4 linked regions of the Saccharomyces cerevisiae S288C genome follow. Changing the gene in region 4 together with the main gene of any one other region gives a genetic interaction. Each region holds a gene or a part of one and is shown on either strand. Other genes may lie near its edges. The genes, in order: RGT1, OPI1, TSC3 and MGA2.

What was found.
Region 1: of MGA2 (region 4) and RGT1, changing one enhances a phenotype caused by changing the other (phenotypic enhancement), as found in Saccharomyces cerevisiae (2 studies listed by BioGRID, with this or other methods).
Region 2: mutations in MGA2 (region 4) and OPI1 together harm fitness more than expected from each alone (negative genetic interaction), as found in Saccharomyces cerevisiae (2 studies listed by BioGRID).
Region 3: mutations in MGA2 (region 4) and TSC3 together harm fitness less than expected from each alone (positive genetic interaction), as found in Saccharomyces cerevisiae (2 studies listed by BioGRID).

What each region holds. Positions count from the first base shown.
Region 1 is NC_001143.9:363,358-369,810, reverse strand, and holds RGT1 (Rgt1p), read right to left. Parts: upstream 4,207-6,453; coding exon 694-4,206; downstream 1-693. Other genes in the region: AIM26 (Aim26p), read right to left, coding at 90-446; PTM1 (Ptm1p), read right to left, coding at 5,618-6,453. UniProt on the Saccharomyces cerevisiae protein: Glucose-responsive transcription factor that regulates expression of several glucose transporter (HXT) genes in response to glucose.
Region 2 is NC_001140.6:65,442-69,693, reverse strand, and holds OPI1 (transcriptional regulator OPI1), read left to right. Parts: upstream 1-2,237; coding exon 2,238-3,452; downstream 3,453-4,252. Other genes in the region: APM2 (Apm2p), read left to right, coding at 146-1,963; AIM17 (Aim17p), read left to right, coding at 3,835-4,252. UniProt on the Saccharomyces cerevisiae protein: Negative regulator of the transcriptional complex INO2-INO4 in response to phospholipid precursor availability.
Region 3 is NC_001134.8:355,409-358,620, reverse strand, and holds TSC3 (Tsc3p), read left to right. Parts: upstream 1-2,054; coding exon 2,055-2,297; downstream 2,298-3,212. Other genes in the region: serine/threonine protein kinase AKL1, read left to right, coding at 1-1,760; ubiquitin-specific protease UBP14, read left to right, coding at 2,604-3,212. UniProt on the Saccharomyces cerevisiae protein: Stimulates the activity of serine palmitoyltransferase (SPT), and thus plays a role in the biosynthesis of sphingolipids.
Region 4 is NC_001141.2:413,756-420,242, reverse strand, and holds MGA2 (Mga2p), read right to left. Parts: upstream 4,120-6,487; coding exon 778-4,119; downstream 1-777. Other genes in the region: LYS1 (saccharopine dehydrogenase (NAD+, L-lysine-forming)), read left to right, coding at 1-628; DAL3 (ureidoglycolate hydrolase), read left to right, coding at 4,626-5,213; malate synthase DAL7, read left to right, coding at 5,564-6,487.

The sequences.
Region 1 (6,453 bases), on a different chromosome or scaffold from region 4:
GAAAGAACCAGAAATTGAATCTCCAACTCCTAAAACCGTAACTTCAATCTCATGGTACCTGCTGGAAGAACTTTGTTGTTTGTTTAGATTTATATACTCAATCCAAAACAGGGAAAGGAAATGCAAAAACGGGCCGAGCCCAAACAAAAGAGGAAGCGCGTCAGGCTGTTCGAGAAGGGGCGGGGGAAGGGGATCAGGTTACAAGACGCTGTACAGGGATCTGTGTGAGAACAAACCGACACCAGAACTTTGGACTTTGCAAGCGCCGGAATTGAATCTGTAGCAATGGCAATGGCAATAGTGATGGCACCAGGTGTAACAGCAAGCCGGCGGTAGCAACGTGCGTAATAAGGACTTCTGCCCCTGAAAAAGTATGCCAAAAGTAGGAGAAAGAAAGACCCCTTTAGCTGTGAAAGAAGAAGGTGCTCCCCGCCCATTGTCTGCATGCGCCCCTGAGCTTGGCGACTCTCGAATACCGTGGAAGATGGTGGAGCACCAGAGTAAAAGGCCGTGCGCACTCTGACAAGGCAGTATTGTTACAGGTTAAAACAGCTAGTGTGTATATGTGTAAGTAAGTATTATTTATGTGTTTTACTTAAATTGGTCATTCATTGCATGGTAGTTCTTTACGCGAATTTCTGCCTGAGGAGAAGGGAGAACCTGACCTACAGGAGAAGGGAGCATAGTTACCTGTCAATACCAGCCTAACTCGGAATCGTCCAACAGCTTCCAGCCGATACTAACGAAATTTTCCAGGGCAACGTTCTCAAGCCTGGGTTCCTCTGCGGCTACTGGCGCCGTTGTCGGTTGTGTACCAGAAGTACGGCGTTCATCAAGCAATGTCTTCATGACTGATGACTCGCGGAGGCCTTGGCCCGACTTTGGCCACATGACGTCGTTTCTGGTCGTGGACGAAAGTCCTCCTGTCAGGGACATTATGGGCTTATTAAGCTCGTGCTCGAAGATCTTGAATGGCTTGATCATTGTCAGCACGCTGGTGATTTGAACTACTTCATTCATCGAGTTTGACAGCTTCATGACCAGGTCCTGCGACTTCTTGGTGTCCTGAGTATTCTGCGTTGTAGTTGCCGTCATCATAATGCTAATGAGTGATGTAGGCATCTGCTTGACCAGTTCAGTGATGTTGTAGACCTCGTGCAGGATAGCAATAGCAAAGGGGGAAATTATCCCCCGGCAAAGGTCTGAAAGGATAGTGCCAGTGTCTTGTTTCAGGCCTAGTAATTTCTTGTAAAAATCTGGATTCCCCTCCGATGGAGGTGCAGCGCTAAGGTTCCCAGCGACTGGAGACGAGCCCATAGCAGATGGGCCCTCTTGCACTGTCGGATTATTAGCGGGTGGGTTCGGTGGTCTATAATTAAAATCAATACTGTTCGTAGGATTCAGTCTTAATATCAACGTCAATACTTGCAAAATTATTGATATCAATGAGCACAGAGAGTCTGCTATTTTCGAACTCAAATCCAATGTCAAATCTGAATAGACTCCTGCTTCTGAATCGTATAATGATAATAAGCAATTGATGAAATTGTGTTTGCCAATTAATAGCTTGCAAAATAACTGTGCTACGGATAGAGGTTGAGTTTCCACATATTCCGATAAGAGTGAAGACGAGTTCGTAATATCGAACCCAGGCTTCCTATTGCCGTTCATTGATATTCTATTCCTGGTAAGCTCACTCATCAATTCACCCAATTTCAAGCTTTGCAAGACGCTTTTCAGTCTCAATTGGCTTTGTTCCAGGCACCATTTTGAGCCCAAATCATTAGAAAAAAATCTTTCTGTAGAACCTTGGATGGAAATGTTTAATAGCTTGGGACCACCGAATGCACAGCTTTGTAAAGAATCAAACACTGAAAGCAAAACGTATAATCTTTTAAACAACACTGAATAGTGACTAATGTTTTCGTCCATGGAATTTGGTGAATTGGATGGATTCATATGCCCAGCACTTTCAGATCCAATTTCAAATTCGGACGTTTTTGTATTCCCATTACCAGTGCTGACCTCTTCATCAACTGGAGGCTTCACATCATTTATATCCGGCTCCGGAAATAATAGAAGTTTGTATAATTTAAATTCGTTAAAAATTGTCACCGACATTCCAAGTACAAATGAGTTATCGTATCCAACAAATGCCAAAATGTAATTTAAAAGAATAAAAGTAGATAAATAAATGACTTTGATCTTCGGCGAAATTTGGTCGTTGTTTTCTCTGAATTTGGGATGAATATCCACGATTTTTTGGAAACATTCATTGAGGGCGGCAATAAAAACGCTTTGCACTTCCAAAGTATCCTGTACTTCATTATGTGAATCACGTCTTGTTTTTTCAGCATCATCCCTTGCCGTGGCTGTAGTGAACCCAGCTTTGTTGTTGTCATTACTTGGCGACAAAGCCACGCCAACAATATTATCGAAAAACTTGCCACCTGGCTTTTGTTTCAGAGCAACACGAACTAACAATTCCAATGAATTTCTAAACCACAAAATAACATATGAATTGACTTCGTGTATATTGGAAATTGGCTGTGTGTTAACTAACAATAAGTCACTGGTCAAGGTCGTTTTGTTTAAAGGTATGATCGGAAATCCTACATGTATGAACTCATAGTAGGTGTCTATTAGATCTACATCGGATATCTGTCCATACGCGATAGTTGATGAAGTGGTCATTGGGTGAGCAGAATCTTTCGATGTTATAGATATAGATGAATCTCTCTTTGGTTTTGTCTTCTTAGATACGTAACTTTTTCTGCGTTTTTTTGTACTTCTCTGTGGCGTTGATCCAGGGCTGGATGCTTCCAAAGCCGCTGGTGTAGTTACAGATTCTTGGGAATGTTGAGATGTATCCTTAGAAGAACCGCTATTATTGCTGCCATTATTGTTGTTAATTTCACCATTATTATTCTCATTACCATTCAGCCTGTCCGTGGATAATGTTACTGATACGGGGGCTGATTGTCGCCTTTTATTTCCATCCAACTCAGATGAAAATTGCGGTACCTGCTGTCCTTGAGGTCTTTGTGTTTGCTGTGCAACATTTACGGGGTTTGTAGATGTGCTAGTAAACATGGCAGGTGCACTGGGAGACATAGCCTCGCTGGCGACTGATCCTTGTCTAGAATGAAAACCATTAGCAGCGAACTGGCCAAAAGATGATATCGATGGGTTGTACGGTTGCTGCTGGGAAAATTGAGAATACGAGTATAGGTTCTGTCCTTGTTGCAACTTTTGTTGGTGTGCTTGTGGCTGCGATTGTTGCTGAGGTGGGGGAAGCTGAGGCTGGCCACCTAGTAAAAGAGAATTTGAAGTATTTCGTAGCAAAGAAGGTATGGAACTTGATCTTCTTGTCTGTTCCCCATTATGATCATCAGTAGGAGCTAGTAAACCAGAAGTTCTTATAAAGGACCAATAACCACCACTACCAGAGGCACTGCCTGAGCCGGTGACACTTCCGTTTGCATTTCCAGAATCATTAGTATGTTTATTCGTTATGGGAGACTGTTGAACGGTGTTATAAGACAACTGCTCGTTGGGATTTAATGTTCTTACCGATATATCACTTTGCAAAGAATCGATAGATCCTTTTCTTTGGTGTTGAAACTCATGGTAGGGCACTTTCCAAAACTGCTGTTGGCCAATATTACCCGCGGGCATAGTTGATTGTATCGCTGGATTTTGGAAACTAGGAGGAATGCCACCAGCCTGGGGAATGTACTGTGTCAGTGGGGGCAATAAAACTGAATTAGATCTCGAAGGGGTACTTGGAACTGTGTTACTGTTTATACCGTTGTCGCCGCTATTGCCCGTATTATTATTCAGGGTATTGTTACTATTATCAAACGTATTATACGACCTTGAGTTATTGTGGTCTTGTATTTCGTTAGTCCTTGGATGGCTGGTGCTCCTCGTATAGCCTTTCGAGGGTCCCCTTTTCAAAGGAACCCTATCAAAACTACAACGGTCTCCATTCCTTTGGCAGTTTGAGCAGACCCCCTTTTCATCTTTGTAGTCACATTTAATCTTCTTTTTACGACACTGATCGCAGGCCCGGGAGGCCTTTGTTCTTTTCTTTATTGCGTGACTTGCTGCTGCTGCGGAGTCCATATCGTCGGGACTATTGGATGTACCACCGTTCTTGGTGGAGTCACTGGAGTTAGTCGAAACAGTGTTCAGCTCGTTCATAATTTGAAATATATTGGAGTTTGAGAGAAGAGTACAGCTTCTTGACAAATGTGAGAATCGAAGAAGCGTGTTATTATTGCACCAATGAAAATTGCGGGAACGGTTCTGCACAATATAGTACAAGGGAGAGGCGATTTCCAACGAAGTCTATGGTGAAAGAGCAGAATATGTTGGATGGACAATACTCCAGTCTCAAAACTCCAAGCACGGTTCCTAACTGATGTGTTCTTATTTTGACTTTTTTTATTTTTTGAATTTTTACTAGTTGCTACTATTTTTTTTTCCTGTTTTTCCTTAAAAGGTCCCTTCCCATAATCGTCTTGCTTAGTTAGCTACATGAAAAAAAAGGAAAAAACTAAAGGAAAATGCACAAAGCAGCGACATATTTTATGAATCCAATACCTGCCATTTCAAGAAGCTCGGATTATTGGTGAGGTGACGTAGCTTTTGTTTGATGTACTGTTGATTATTCGTCTCTGGTGCTCATAAGCCACGTCACAGAAAACGATAAACGATGTTAGCGCACATGCTACATGACTTGCCAATCGTGGTAAAGCTTCTGATGAAAGAACCAACTTGCGGAAGCGTGCCCATAAAATGGTCGTGCGGCTTAACGAGCAATCACACCGAATAAAGTGATCCCGTAAAATGATATTCTACTCGGATGATCCGTTCCCTAGGAAGCGTAAGACAAGTAACTACAAATGTTGTCGCATGTATATTCTATTACTCAGAGCGTTTGACAAAAAAATCTTCTCCCTTTCATTAAAAACGAATCGAAGAGCTGGGTTTATAGCATTGTCACTAAGGACGTGGTCTCATCATAAACAAATAGAATATACATGTTATGTTACATAGGAAAGACCGAAAAAGCCAGAGAAAGCTAATAAGGTTAGCACTGATGCAGCGCGCAACCTTACGTTATCTGGCTTCGTTGTTCATCCTTGAACAAAGGGAATTCCTCACTTCTGGTCTTCCTGCGTCTCTTCTCATAAACAAGTACACATGAAAAGTCTATGGACCAATTTTCTCTTCCATTTTATAGTCGATGAACAGAAACTTTTCGCTTGTTTCGGTTTGATATAAATCATCTTATCACCGAAAAAAAAAAAACTCCAGCGAGCGGCTAAATAAATACAAAACGAAAAAGTTAGGTCTAGAGTATAGCATAGCTTTGGTGACTACAGTTATAAACAGGTAAAAGCACGCACAAATAAATGAAAAGAAACGTGCAACGCATTTATTTATTTATTTATTTATATTCATATTTATATTCATATTCATATTCACATCGCATTGAACAGAAGTGCATATGGTTCATAATTTCTTTCTTTTCGCTTGTAAACATTTCGTGACTGCCCTCGAAGAAACTATTTGTCTCATCACCTAATCAAATCTGCTGGAGGTAGCGTTATTTTGTTGGAGAGGGAGACACTGGCCCGTGGCCTTGGCTATGGTTATTTACATTATCGTGTCCTTCTTCATCATCAGTAAAATTCAAATTGAGGTCATCCTCGTCTATGCCACGCTCACCAGTGATGATACTTGCGTCATCTTGATCGTCAAACGATTGCAAATCGCCCAAGTCAAAGTCCGCGACATTTTCTGGGTCTGTGGGTAGTTGTTGGGATGCGGCTAGCATGTATGAAGTATCTGTTGGTCTCCATAAGAACGCGATGGTAACGAAAACAATGAAATACACTAACGTAGGCCAGAAATCAGTAACGAAGAACCTTGACCTCCAGTTCTTCTCAATCATATCAATAGTGTTCATGCCAACGTAAATAAATGACGAAACTATACTACCAGCTAGTACACTCAAAAAGGACGCATAAATGATGTATAGTAGCTTCTTGTACATGTTCAATTTTACGATCTGCCTTTGCTCTTTCAAATAGATAACTGTTTTTGTCATGGATCTAATAATCATGTAGTAAAATATGATTAATGCAAGCGCCATAGGAATCAAGGTGATCAAGATTAGTGGAGATGGTGCCTCCATGTCGGTCAAATAACTTTGGATCAAAAATCCAATGCAAATTGCATAAGTTAACGCACCATACATTTGGCAACGCCTCATCAACGTTTTATTCAACTTAGGGTACACGATACCGTAGCCCAAAGCGATAATCAATAATAGGAAAAATGAAAATGTAACTTTACCAGCCGTCAATATCGACAAGAACACCATATAAACTTTTATTCCCGCAGTATCACCTTTTTCATTTTTCAAATCATAGTAAGCCC
Region 2 (4,252 bases), on a different chromosome or scaffold from region 4:
GGTTTCTTTCTGCTTTTGGTAGGTTGTGTTTACTGTTTTATAACTGGAAGGGCTTAAATTCCAGATTGGAAAATTGAGAATGCCTTGGACAAAAAGCAAATAAAGGGACCCAAAAATAGTAAAGAGGAAATCAGGAAGGAAAGGCATGTCGTCAAGCCTTTTTATCCTGGATGAAAATCTGGAGCCATTGGTATCGAAGAATATTAGAGCACTACCGAATCTATCGTCGGTTCTTTCAAGTTTCAAACAATGTTATCATGACGGGTCGCCTCCAATTCTCTCCCAAAACGATTGGTTCTTTATACATTTGAAGAGAGACTTTCTGCATTTCGTTTCAGTGATACATACCACAGACAAACCAAATATAGACTTAATGACTATACTAGCCTTTTTGGAACAATTTTATCATCTTTTACAAAAATATTTTGAAATCGAGGTCTTAACTAAGAATGTCATACTGGACAACATCTTACTTGTCCTGGAGTTGATTGATGAATGTATAGACTTTGGTATCGTACAAGTGACGGATCCAAGTATCATCAAGGACTACATTCGTGTGAAGGTCAACGTACCAAGAGTTACAGTAGACAATGAGGAGTGGAGCCCTGGTGAAGAGAGCAGTAGTAGTAGCGGTAGCGATAGCGATAGCGAGTACAGCAATACTAATAAGAGGAAGGATAAGAAGAAGAAAAGGAAGAAGAAAAAGGGCACTAAAGGGAAAAGCGTGGGCAAAAGTAAATTAAAAAGTATAATGGTAAACAATAAAGAAAATAGGGGCATAAACGTGGTGGAAACTGTCAAGGAGACACTAAGGAACAAGAATGATACCGGTAAAGAAGCCGCTAATGACGAGCTCCCCAATGACGGTAATGATTTATACATCAATGGCGATATTGCGAAGACGATTATAATGCCCATATCATGGAGAACAAAGGGGATACATTACGCCAAAAACGAGTTCTTTCTTGATGTTATTGAACGTGTTCAGTACTTGATGGATTTTGAAAAAGGAGTGATTAGGAAAAATCTGATACATGGAGAGATTGTGTGCAGATGCTATTTATCAGGGATGCCCAAACTGAAAATATCCATAAACAAGATACTGAACAGGGACCCCCAGTTCATGTCGAATTCCAGCTTTCATCAGTGTGTTTCACTAGATTCCATAAACACTATTGAAAAAGATGAAGAAAAGAATAGTGACGATGATGCTGGTTTGCAGGCCGCCACAGATGCAAGAGAAATCGAATTTATACCGCCGGATGGCGAATTTGTTCTTTGCCAATACGAGTTGAAGAGACATGTAAAGGATGCGCCGATGGTGAGGTTGAAAGATTTTGAAATCAAACCTAAACTGAAGAAGTTTAAAATCCAAATTGTAACCAAAATTCAAACAAATTTTAAACCCACCAACTCAACGTCGAAGCTAAACGTGAGAATTCCCCTGACAAAAGTCTTCCAGGAATATAAAATAGACCTCAGCAAGCAAATTAGATTCAAGGCAAACATCGGCAAGGTCGTGTTTAACTTGAGTGACGATTTTCTCCTCTGGGAGATACAAACCATGAAGGGGCACCGAGAACATAGCACAAACAAGAGCTCACAGTACAACAGCGACGAAGATGATCCAAATACGTGTGCATCCATGGTGGCAGAGTTCCCCCTCTTCAACCAGGAAGAATATGACCGCCTGCAAGAAGAAATGAAAACCTCAATGAATCCGCCGCCCTTGCGCACGGGACCCAGGCTGGAAGAACTATATAGACAAGTGCACGACCAACAAACTTCCCACGTTACTCCTCGAGATAAGTTGGTCAACATTGATTTCGAGATTCCGTACTGTACATGCAGTGGCCTGAAAGTTGAGTACTTGAAGGTCGAAGAGCCACAATTGCAGTACCAGTCTTTCCCCTGGGTCAGATACAAGACCGTCAGCGACGAAGAGTACGCATATATTGTTTGACGCTTACGCAGACATCTCATAGATAGACAAATGGTACGTTCGTTTTAGTATATAGATGGCACCTTATAATCTTCATATGCAACCGGGTAAAATCGGGCGTTCTTATTTTTTTTTTTTCCACCTCAATGAGAGGGATTAATAAGAGGATTGGAGCAAGACAGCGATCTGCACTTAGCCAAGAAAGCATATCAGGCCAGAACGTGGCATTTTGTTTACAGTGCTGATTAAAGCGTGTGTATCAGGACAGTGTTTTTAACGAAGATACTAGTCATTGATGTCTGAAAATCAACGTTTAGGATTATCAGAGGAAGAGGTAGAAGCGGCTGAAGTACTTGGGGTGTTGAAACAATCATGCAGACAGAAGTCGCAGCCTTCAGAGGACGTCTCACAAGCTGACAAAATGCCGGCAAGTGAGTCGTCTACGACGCCGCTAAACATTTTGGATCGCGTAAGTAACAAAATTATCAGTAACGTAGTGACATTCTACGATGAAATAAACACCAACAAGAGGCCACTGAAATCAATAGGGAGGCTGCTAGACGATGACGATGACGAGCATGATGATTACGACTACAACGACGATGAGTTCTTCACCAACAAGAGACAGAAGCTGTCGCGGGCGATTGCCAAGGGGAAGGACAACTTGAAAGAGTACAAGCTGAACATGTCCATCGAGTCTAAGAAGAGGCTTGTAACGTGCTTGCATCTTTTAAAGCTGGCCAATAAGCAGCTTTCCGATAAAATCTCGTGTTTACAGGACCTTGTTGAAAAGGAGCAGGTGCATCCTTTGCACAAGCAAGATGGAAATGCTAGGACGACCACTGGAGCTGGCGAGGACGAGACATCGTCAGACGAAGACGACGACGATGAGGAGTTTTTTGATGCCTCAGAGCAGGTCAACGCCAGCGAGCAGTCTATTGTGGTGAAAATGGAGGTGGTCGGCACAGTCAAGAAAGTCTACTCGCTGATATCGAAGTTCACAGCAAATTCGCTGCCGGAGCCCGCAAGATCTCAGGTTCGGGAAAGTCTTCTAAACTTACCCACAAATTGGTTCGACAGCGTCCACAGTACATCACTGCCGCATCATGCTTCGTTTCATTATGCCAACTGTGAAGAACAAAAAGTGGAGCAACAGCAACAGCAACAGCAACAGCAGCAGCAGCAGCAACTTTTGCAGCAGCAACTCCTGCAACAGCAACAGCAAAAAAGGAACAAGGATGGCGACGACTCAGCCTCGCCGTCCTCCTCCGTAACTGCGAATGGGAAAGTACTCATTCTCGCCAAAGAATCCCTGGAAATGGTGAGAAATGTCATGGGCGTAGTCGACTCCACGTTGGGCAAGGCTGAAGAATGGGTGAAGCAGAAACAGGAGGTAAAAGAAATGATCAGGGAGCGTTTCTTGCAACAGCAGCAACAGTACAGGCAGCAACAGCAGAAGGATGGCAATTACGTAAAGCCCTCTCAGGACAACGTGGATAGCAAGGACTAACCGAGACAGATTGAGGTCTTTCATGCATTACCACCAGTAATAATATTATACGGAATAATATAGTTTATATAATATCCATAATCATAATCATAATCATAATCATAATCATAATCGTGATATTGTACCAGCCCCGCTTCTCCCCTTTTGAACTACCATTATTATCGGACCCTCTTTACCTTTGAATGGCTCAGTAAGGACCTTTGCGCAGCCGTAAGGGGGTCGGGAATACATTTCCGGGGTTGATCCTCGAGGAAAAGTGCTATCTATATAAGGAGAAGCCCTTCTAGATCCAAATATCAGGGGTAACTCTTCACAACTGGCCAGGAACATATTCCAAGTTAAAAAGAAAAAATAATTATTAGAAACCAATTACCAACACAAGATGCTAAGATCAAATTTATGCAGAGGATCTCGAATCCTTGCAAGACTGACCACTACACCAAGGACATACACATCTGCGGCGACAGCTGCGGCTGCGAATCGGGGACATATCATCAAAACATACTTCAATAGAGATTCTACGACAATTACGTTCTCCATGGAGGAGTCCAGCAAGCCGGTTTCCGTTTGCTTTAACAACGTTTTTCTTAGAGATGCCTCCCATAGTGCCAAGCTGGTGACCACGGGAGAACTGTATCATAACGAGAAATTGACCGCTCCTCAGGACATTCAAATTTCTGAGGACGGAAAATCTCTAGTGGTGAAATGGAAAGATGGCGGTCATCACCAGTTCCCTTTACAATTCTTTATCGACTATAAAGGTTCCAGTTTTGTTTCGCCAGCAACAAGAAAACAAGAAT
Region 3 (3,212 bases), on a different chromosome or scaffold from region 4:
CTTCAGGTGGCAGATCAATGAAGAGCACATCATATGGTGCAGCAACGATCGGGTCAGACGAAGCCTTGGCGAACGAGAAAACTGCTGGTATTAATAAGATGAAACAACATAAATCGAATAATCCCTTTCCAAAAATGAATGTTGCATACCATTCTACGAATGAATTGAGCAATGACGCAAGTAACTTTTTCCTGGAAGAACAACAGCAAGGCCAGAGATATCAGCAAGCTCAAAATCAAACAGGTACACAAGGGAATACCTTTCCAGATGAATCTCAGTATCAATCTAGAGTTGAACAACAGCAGCAACAACAGGACCAACCCAAAGGACCTGCTAATTATAGCCAAAGAAATTTCTACACTGGGAGGGATCGGTCCAATAAACCTATGCAGTTGGGTGGAACTATTGCTGGAGATAGTGGTAATAGAAGAGTCAACTTTCAGAATATTTCTCAAAATTACGCCACGAACTCCCAGTCAGGATATCTCCCAAGTCAAAATTCCCCAGCAATTCCAATGGTGAGACCTGTTATTTCCATGAATCAGCAGCAAGCGCAACAGATACAAGCCCAGCAATTGCAGGCACAACAGATGCAGGCAAAGCAACAGATGCAAGCCAAGCAGCAGATGCAAGTTCAGCAACAACTGCAAGTCCAACAGCAAATGCAAATTCAAAATGCAAATAATAATGGTACTTACGTCTCTGATAGAACAAATCATACCACAGAAGATATGAGAAATGCTCAGGGGGGTGAACCTCCAATTCTTGCAGGAAATTCTGCAAATGAACCAATGCACTCATCCTCTAAAAATGAAGCTCTCTTAATTGAACTATCTCCATTAAAAGAAGATGCAGGAAAGCAATCTTTCCAAGATACAAATGAGCCTCAAACTGGCGGTATCGAAGATGCCGGCGGTTCAGGAACTATCAAAGGCTCGAACAATAATCGAAATGGCGTTTTAAATTTAAGTTTGAATGAGATGGACTTATCAAGAGATGATACTGGTGCTGCTGTCTCCTCCTTTTCATCGTCTTCATCGTCTGCATCAATTCAACAAGCTAAGCTTTCTGGACGCAAAGGTTCCAGTAAGAGGAACAATTATTCAACAGACGAATTGGGAGATAGTATGGTCTCCAGCGAAAGCATTGATATTGATTTGGATGATGCAAGGAGAGGAAAAACAGCTGAAAGAAGACCACTCCATAATGAAAGAGGTCATAAAGACCAGGCAAGATCAAGTGATGCTAGTAAGTCTAATCAATTCAAAAGCAAGGACTTCAGCAGCGTATCAACAAGGCAACCGCGGCAGTCATTGGATCTGAATTTCCAGGAAGTAAATCTGTCTTCACCAACGTTAACTCAAGAGCATAGAAATAAAAACGACTCGCCAGCACCAAATTCACATCACTCGTATAGAGTTTCACCTCATGCTTCCACCGCAATAACTGAGAATAAGCGCCACAGTACTGGTCACGAACTGTCAACCCGGTCAAATGGCAAGCATGAAACACACAGGACTGGTTCCAAGCAAAGGCACGATTTGGAAAGATACCGGCATTCGAAGGATAAGGATAGCAATAGCAGCATTACTATTAGCACCTCAACTCCATCAGAGATGAGAAAATCCTTCGCTAGGGCCCGTCAATCGCTTGATTTGGAAAGGGTCCGTCGTGAAGCGATGGCAAGTAGTGCATCCAGTAGTGGTGGCAGTAACGGGAAAAGGAGATCTTTTTTCTCAGTCTTTAGAAGCGAGAAATGATTCGATAAATAGAGCACATATAAAATCATATACATACATTGTTACATATAGAGGCGCAGACAATCCGTATATCTTCCTCAAAAACTAAATTGATAGAACAATAGTAACTCAAATCATATGCATTAAGCATATCGTGCGAGATGACGTTTACTCCTGACGCGCTTAACGAGAAGCGGTTAAGTGAAGAGTAATAGTGCTCGCAATTTGACAGAAATGACACCATTTTAAAAGTACTAGAGATAAAGAGTGTAGAAACCGGAAGAACAAAGGTGGAACATATCATAAGGGGAAGAAATGACACAACATAAAAGCTCGATGGTGTACATACCCACCACTAAGGAAGCTAAAAGACGTAATGGGAAATCAGAAGGCATACTAAATACTATTGAAGAAGTGGTGGAAAAGCTTTATTGGACCTACTACATACATTTACCCTTTTATTTAATGGCCTCTTTTGATTCATTCTTCCTCCATGTTTTTTTTCTCACAATTTTCAGTTTGAGTTTCTTCGGTATACTAAAGTATTGCTTCCTTTGAATGATTATTTATATCCTTATTCGGTTAATAATAGTATAAGCTGGAGGCAAGGGGACAGAAAATTTAGGAGGATATCATGGAGGATAGAGTTACATAAATATACACACAATACATAAACTAATAATTGCTTGTGGCTATAGGATATAATTTATAACAGTTGATGTGCCTTTGAAAAATGACATCGTTTGGAATGAGATCAAATTTATCACTTGATGAAATCACAGTGAAAAGCGACTTGCAATGGCAGTAGAGATGACAGGTAAATTCATCCAAAAAGAGAGCCCGAAGTCTTTCTCACATTCAGAAATGGCAGAAGCAGTACTAGAAAACGTTAACGTTCCTGCAGTCGTTTCAAAAGATGAGTGTATTTATTGCTTTGAATCCCCTTATAATGAACCATTGGCCCTCAATGCATCACCTAAACATTCATTGAATATATGCTTAAACTGTTTCCAAGCTACGTGCAACAGACATGTTCCACTCCATATCCGAGTCACAGAATATGCTTGCGATACCATACATTCCAATTATTTAACTATTGCTAAAGTGGAGAAACCTAAGCAAGAAAATGTAGAAGAAAATAATAACAACAAAAAAATAAAGCTACAGGTAATTGAGACGTCAGAAGACGACACCCACAACACTATTTGGAGTTTACAAAGGTTCAATGGTGAAAATGTTCCCAGGACCGTACTTTCGAAGTCGACAGACTCTGACATTTCTTCTACGGCCTTGGAGAAGATTGAAAAGATATTAAAGGCGAAGTCACAAGACTTCGAGGATAAGAAGAACTCCTGGGTGTTAGAAATCAGCACCTGTCCACATACAGAAAACTTTCAAATTCCATCTAAGCCCGAAAATACTGTGAATTTAAACCAATGCTCTTCCTGTGATTTGACTCAAAATCTCTGGTTA
Region 4 (6,487 bases):
AGTGTCGCCTTACCCCAATGAAAAGGCATTGGTTAAAGATGTTACCAAAGATTATAAAGAAGCCTTAGCCACCGGAGCCAGAAAGCCAACCGTGTTAATCATTGGTGCGCTAGGAAGATGTGGTTCCGGTGCCATCGATCTGTTGCACAAAGTTGGTATTCCAGATGCTAACATATTAAAATGGGATATCAAAGAAACTTCCCGTGGTGGTCCCTTTGACGAAATTCCACAAGCTGATATTTTTATCAATTGTATATATCTATCGAAGCCAATTGCTCCTTTCACTAACATGGAGAAACTGAATAATCCTAACAGAAGACTAAGGACCGTGGTGGACGTATCAGCAGACACTACCAACCCTCACAACCCCATCCCAATATACACTGTGGCTACTGTGTTTAACAAACCTACCGTTCTGGTACCTACCACTGCCGGGCCTAAATTATCTGTCATCTCTATTGATCACTTGCCTTCTTTGCTGCCAAGAGAAGCTTCAGAATTTTTCTCTCATGATCTCTTACCATCTTTAGAGCTCCTACCTCAAAGAAAAACTGCTCCTGTCTGGGTTAGAGCCAAGAAATTGTTCGATAGACATTGCGCTCGTGTTAAAAGATCTTCAAGATTGTAGTTTACATTTAAAGTATATACATTATCGTTACGCTGACATTTACAAGTTTAATTTTTTTTTGACTTTTTTTAAATGACTTTCTCTTCTTTTAAGTGTACTGTCTTTTCATTATACACACATATATATATATATATACGTAAAAAAGCAGACTAACTGACAATTAAATCGTTCAACATTCTTGTTGTTTGCAGGTTTGATAATTTTGACCTGAATGCAGTTTTCATCCTTTCATTTCCCAGCAAGAACTTTGCTAATGCAATTCTCAAGTACTCTGAGATTAATTCGCTTATATGATTGATGGAACTATCTTGGTTGCCAAATTTGTACATGATGAACCATGTCAAAAGTAGTAGTGTTAAGGGTATCCAGAAAAATATTAACATTTTATCATTTCGGAAGTTTTGTTTGTTTTGGAAGAATCTGTTAAACTGTTTTTTCAAAAATTCTTCCTCTTCCTCATAATCCTCTTCCTCCGAATTTTCAGAGTTTTCAATATTAGATGCTGACTGCTCCACAATACTGTCTTGATTTGTGGTTTTCAATTTATCATCTTTACCCCAAGACAACGGGAACAGATCCTCATATTTTGGTAAGTCATCATTAATTCGATGTAAAACTCTATTCCAGAGAGATGTACTACCATTATCCTCTTCGGGTTCGTTGGCGCTAGATCCAATATCAAGGAGTTCGCTTTGTTCCTCCCTGCATGCAACACCTGGTTTTTCTACTTCGTCAGTGACGAACAGATCTTCATCCCCGTCTTCTTCGAAATCACTTTGGTCGTACTCAGAGTAACTTGAATTCTCAAATAGTTGCAAGGTTGGATGCTGAATCTCCATAGAAGTGGGATTTATCATGCTTTGGCTTTCGAATAAGTTCTCATTCAAAGATTCATTGTCTAGCAGGCTTGAATTGAAACTGGATTGTGAATATTTCCTGCTAATAGAATAATTACTGTCTGTTTCTACACTATCGGTAAACTTCGTACCGTTTTGGAATTCTTCAAACAATGACAATACTTCGCTGATATAAGTGTCATTATGAACAAACTTATGGTTGTCTCTGTTATCTTGTTTTTTGTCTATTTCCTTTGAATGAATGTGGTTTGCTATGAATACTTCTCTTGCAGTTAATCCGTTGTGTGACCTCAGTGAATAATTTACTTTACAATTTAAAAGCATCTTAATAATTTTAGGGTCACCACTTATGCAAGCAAAATGTAATGGAGTTAGCCCAAAGGAATCAATATCGTTAACACGAGCACCCTTTTTAATCAATGTATACACAAGGCTTGAGTAATTTTTCAAACAGGCAAGATGTAATAAAGTTCTCCCTAATGAATCACATATGGAAATATTGGAATTTATGTTCAATGATTTTATAACTTTTTGTATCAAGACTTCATCGGAGTAAAGAACACTTGTGTTCAGATTCATACTGTGTTGGTTTGGAGAGGGACCTGTGCTTTTTGAACAGCTGTTGCCATTTGTACCGCTATCAGGAGAATCATTGCCAACAATCCTCTTCGCGATATTTCTTGCATCTTCTAACTTACCATTCATTTTTAATCCCACAATTTGCAAAGCCAATTCAATCAGTTGCCTATCAGTATCATCAACATAGGTAAATATGGCCTTTTTATTGTCATTGATCTCAATTTCTTGGGGAAGGTCATCGTTATTATTTTCATTATTCGTATCAGTAATAGAGACGAAAACTTGACCCGCGTAGGCAGCGGGAGGGAGATAAGTGACGATCGTGGTCTCACTCCAGCATTGCGTAGAAAGGGCAAGATTAGAGCCGAACTTTACAGAAAGACCATCTTTGAAGTTACAACCCAGTAATGTAACTTCGATACCACCATTGATTGGGCCTTGTGAAGGTATAACGCGATTAATTGATGGCAAATTATTGTTGTTGTTTTTCATTGAGAAATCTTGCATTGAATGTAAAGCTGGATTCATCGTATTTGTTGCACTGATTGAATTTGAAAAGGAATGCTTGAATAGGGGTTTACCAATGTCATTTTCCAAATTATTGCGTGCTCTTTTCCGTTGGTTCAATTGACTCTGTTGTTCAATATTTGTCAAAGAGATAGTACGGACGGGATTGTCATTATCGCGATGATGATAGTTAAATGATTCTGAGCCTTCTTCGCTCATAGATGTTGGTGATGGAATATGCTGATTGGGCAGAGAAAGGTTCAGTGATAAGTTATTGTTCTGAAGCAAATCTGTCTGTTGAGAGATGGAATATGGGAATGGTACGTTTTTGTCTTTCAGTGGAATATTATTCATTTGACTGTCATTATCATATGGGTTGTGTTGATAAGTATATTGAAATGGCATATTTTCGTCTTTGCTCAATTGGTTGTTATCCGTTGAATAATATTCTGTGGTAGATTCTTCTTCCGTTAGCTGCCTTCTGGACGAGGTAGTAGTGTTATTAAACTTGGTGGTATCCATATTTGCTGGTTTTCTATCCGTGATCATAATAGGTGTTGTCGTAAACTTACCCAACAGTCTATTTTGCCAATCTGTTATAGTGAATAATATGACAAAGCCATTATTTGCCTTATGGTGCCTGCAATAACAAACTAGCCTGGTAGTTAATTCAAACTCCTTAACATTATCGAAAGTTTTCATTATGGGGAAAACCTGTTTGTTATTGAACACGACTAACCTTCTATTAATATTATTACACCAGAGTAAATTGTCTGCAATACCTGATTTCCTTCTAGCGGCTCTTCTTTGTTCTCGCTTAACACACTTGGTACAAACATTTGTCGTTCTGTTGCTGACCGCACATAGAACAAACGCATTGATGTACAGAAGATTTTTCTTGAAGTCTTCTGAAAAATCCTCGATATTTTTTTTTAAATAAAACTTTTCTCTTGAAATGGAATCGCTAGGCAAGTAAAGCATGCTTTGGTTTAGTGGTGTTTCAGACGTAATTTTCACTTTCAGTTTCAGTTGATTTTCCACTCTAGATACTTGTGGCAAACCTGAGACCTCTACATCCAAAGGTAGCTGCGCTGCGTTCACTTTAAGGTAATCTAAAGGATTTATGTAAACAGATTGAATCGTCTCCTTTCTTCCAAATACAATCTCGTCATGAGCAGGGTTGCCTATATTTTTTTCATTAAAAACCTTATTTTCATGCTCGTCCTCTTCTTCCTCCTTCAAGGCTCTGTTACTTTCCATTTCCTCCTCCAGTGGAGTGGACACGTTTTGGTTGACATGAGTATTGTTACCGATACCTTCGAAAGACAACAGGTTGGGCGAATCACCCTCATCTGTCTTGATAAAATTTTGGAAATTAGCACCCTCATCAATATTAATATGCGCCATGCTATCATCCTGGTACATGGGAGACCCGTTCAGGAGGAAATCGTCCAAGAGCTGTGATTCCATTACGCTATTCGCGTGCAATTGAGATATATGAGGGTCGCTTCCAGGTGTTTCCGTTAAGAACTCACTGTTCTGCTGCATAACGAAATGTTCTGTTCGCCAAAATGACCTTCAATAAGTGCCTTTAAATGCACAATAAGGGGGGGAAGCAGGATCTAGTCTTAACGACCCCAAGAACGACTGTTGATCAAGCGCCGCTGTCCTTTTAAAAGGCTTTCGGCGGCTGTATTTTCTGGTTTAGAGCTCACCCATTTGAAAATGTTGAGTTTTTTGTCATGATCCACGATATAAAAAGAAATACGACATTTCTAGGGTAACATCAGAATGCCCTTGCTTTTATTGTTAGGGTTATTTTCAAAAGTAGAATTTTGGAAATAAGTCCTAGCCTTTTTGTAACACTAACCCTGAGACAAAGTGCCAGATAAGATAAGATGGATTGGCAAATAAATGGGGAAAGATAAGCGAGGTAAGACTGATAAGAAGCATATGCGGTCTATTCATGTGCATTCGCATATATAAGTCAGTAACTGTCATCCAATCGCTCTTGATGCTTATCTTGTAGGGCAAAAAATCTTTGAAGCAAAGATATGGTGACCGTGGTGGCGGAGACATTGACGAAAGAGTCCTTCGAGGAGTATGGGACGATAATTTCGCCAGATGAAGAGATTTCAAGGATGCAAAACCTTGAAAAAGGTGCAAACCAGGGAACAGCGATCAAATTGCTTCAAGTAAGCCAGGTAGAGAATAAATCTACCAGTAAAGTTCCCAATTGGAACCTATTCCGTTGCTTTCCACAGCCGCACCTGAATAGAGTATTCACTCAAGGCTCCAATCAGGCGATTTCTCATTCTATCAAAGTCCTCGAAAAGCATCCGTGTAGTACGCAGACGTTTGTGCCTATGGGGAGAACGTCAGCGGAAGTAGCATACTTGGTAGTAGTCGCTAAAGAAATTGGAAATAAGCCAGACTTGTCTACGTTGAGGGCTTTTACATGTTTGGGTAATCAGGCCGTTACCTATGGCTTAGGTACCTGGCATGCGCCCATGATAGTACTTGGCAAGGAAGAACATTTGGATTTTTCAGTCTTAATCTACGAAAGTCTGGACCCTGACAGGCCCGAGAAGGACTGTGTGGAAGAACACTACAGCGATGGCGACGTTTGTATTATCATCTAATTCTGCGACTGTGGGCGAAGTAAATATGTAAATGTTCATGTATTAGTAATTTCATAGGTTTACGATTATCGACATAAAATCTCCGCTGAAAGTTGCGGTGCGATAGAATACCGCGGATTTTGGAAAATTGCGTTTGCTTTTCTTATCACATAAATTGAATTTCATAAGTTTTGGCTTATCTTGGATAAGGTACATCGTGAAAGTATCACAAAGATTGGATAGTTTCGTCAATTGGTGAAGCAATAAGTATAAAATGGGGACATTTACGCATGTAGTCTTAATTCTTCACTTTCTGTGCAGTTGATATCACTTAGAGTATGTGTCATAGGCACGGTAAAGAGCACTGAACAATGGTGAAGATAAGCTTGGACAACACTGCTCTATACGCAGACATCGACACGACTCCTCAATTTGAACCTTCCAAAACTACTGTAGCTGATATTTTAACAAAAGATGCCTTAGAGTTCATTGTTTTGCTGCATAGAACTTTCAATTCAACACGGAAACAGCTTTTAGCCAACAGAAGCAATTTACAATCAAAGTTAGACTCTGGTGAATACCGATTTGATTTCTTGCCGGAAACCGAACAAATCAGGAACGATCCTACATGGCAAGGTGCTATCCCAGCCCCTGGTTTGATCAACAGATCCAGCGAGATTACTGGGCCACCATTGAGAAATATGTTAGTCAACGCTTTGAATGCTGAAGTAACGACATATATGACTGATTTCGAGGACTCTTCATCTCCAACTTGGGAGAACATGATTTACGGACAAGTTAATCTTTATGATGCCATTAGAAATCAAATCGATTTCAAGACACCAAGAAAGGAGTACAGGTTGAAGGATGACATTTCAAGACTGCCCACTTTAATTGTCAGACCTCGTGGCTGGCACATGGTGGAGAAGCACCTTTACATAGATGATGAACCGATTAGTGCTTCCATCTTCGATTTTGGTTTATATTTTTACCATAACGCTAAAGAGTTAGTTAAAATTGGTAAAGGACCTTATTTTTACTTACCAAAGATGGAGCACCATATGGAGGTAAAACTATGGAATGACATATTCTGTGTTGCACAAGATTTTATTGGAATGCCCCGCGGTACCATTAGGGCCACTGTTCTGATTGAAACTTTGCCAGCGGCCTTCCAAATGGAGGAGATTATCTATCAAATAAGAGAACATTCAAGCGGTTTGAACTGTGGTCGTTGGGACTACATATTTTCGACCATTAAAAAACTGAGAAACTTGCCTGAACACGTTTTGCCAAAT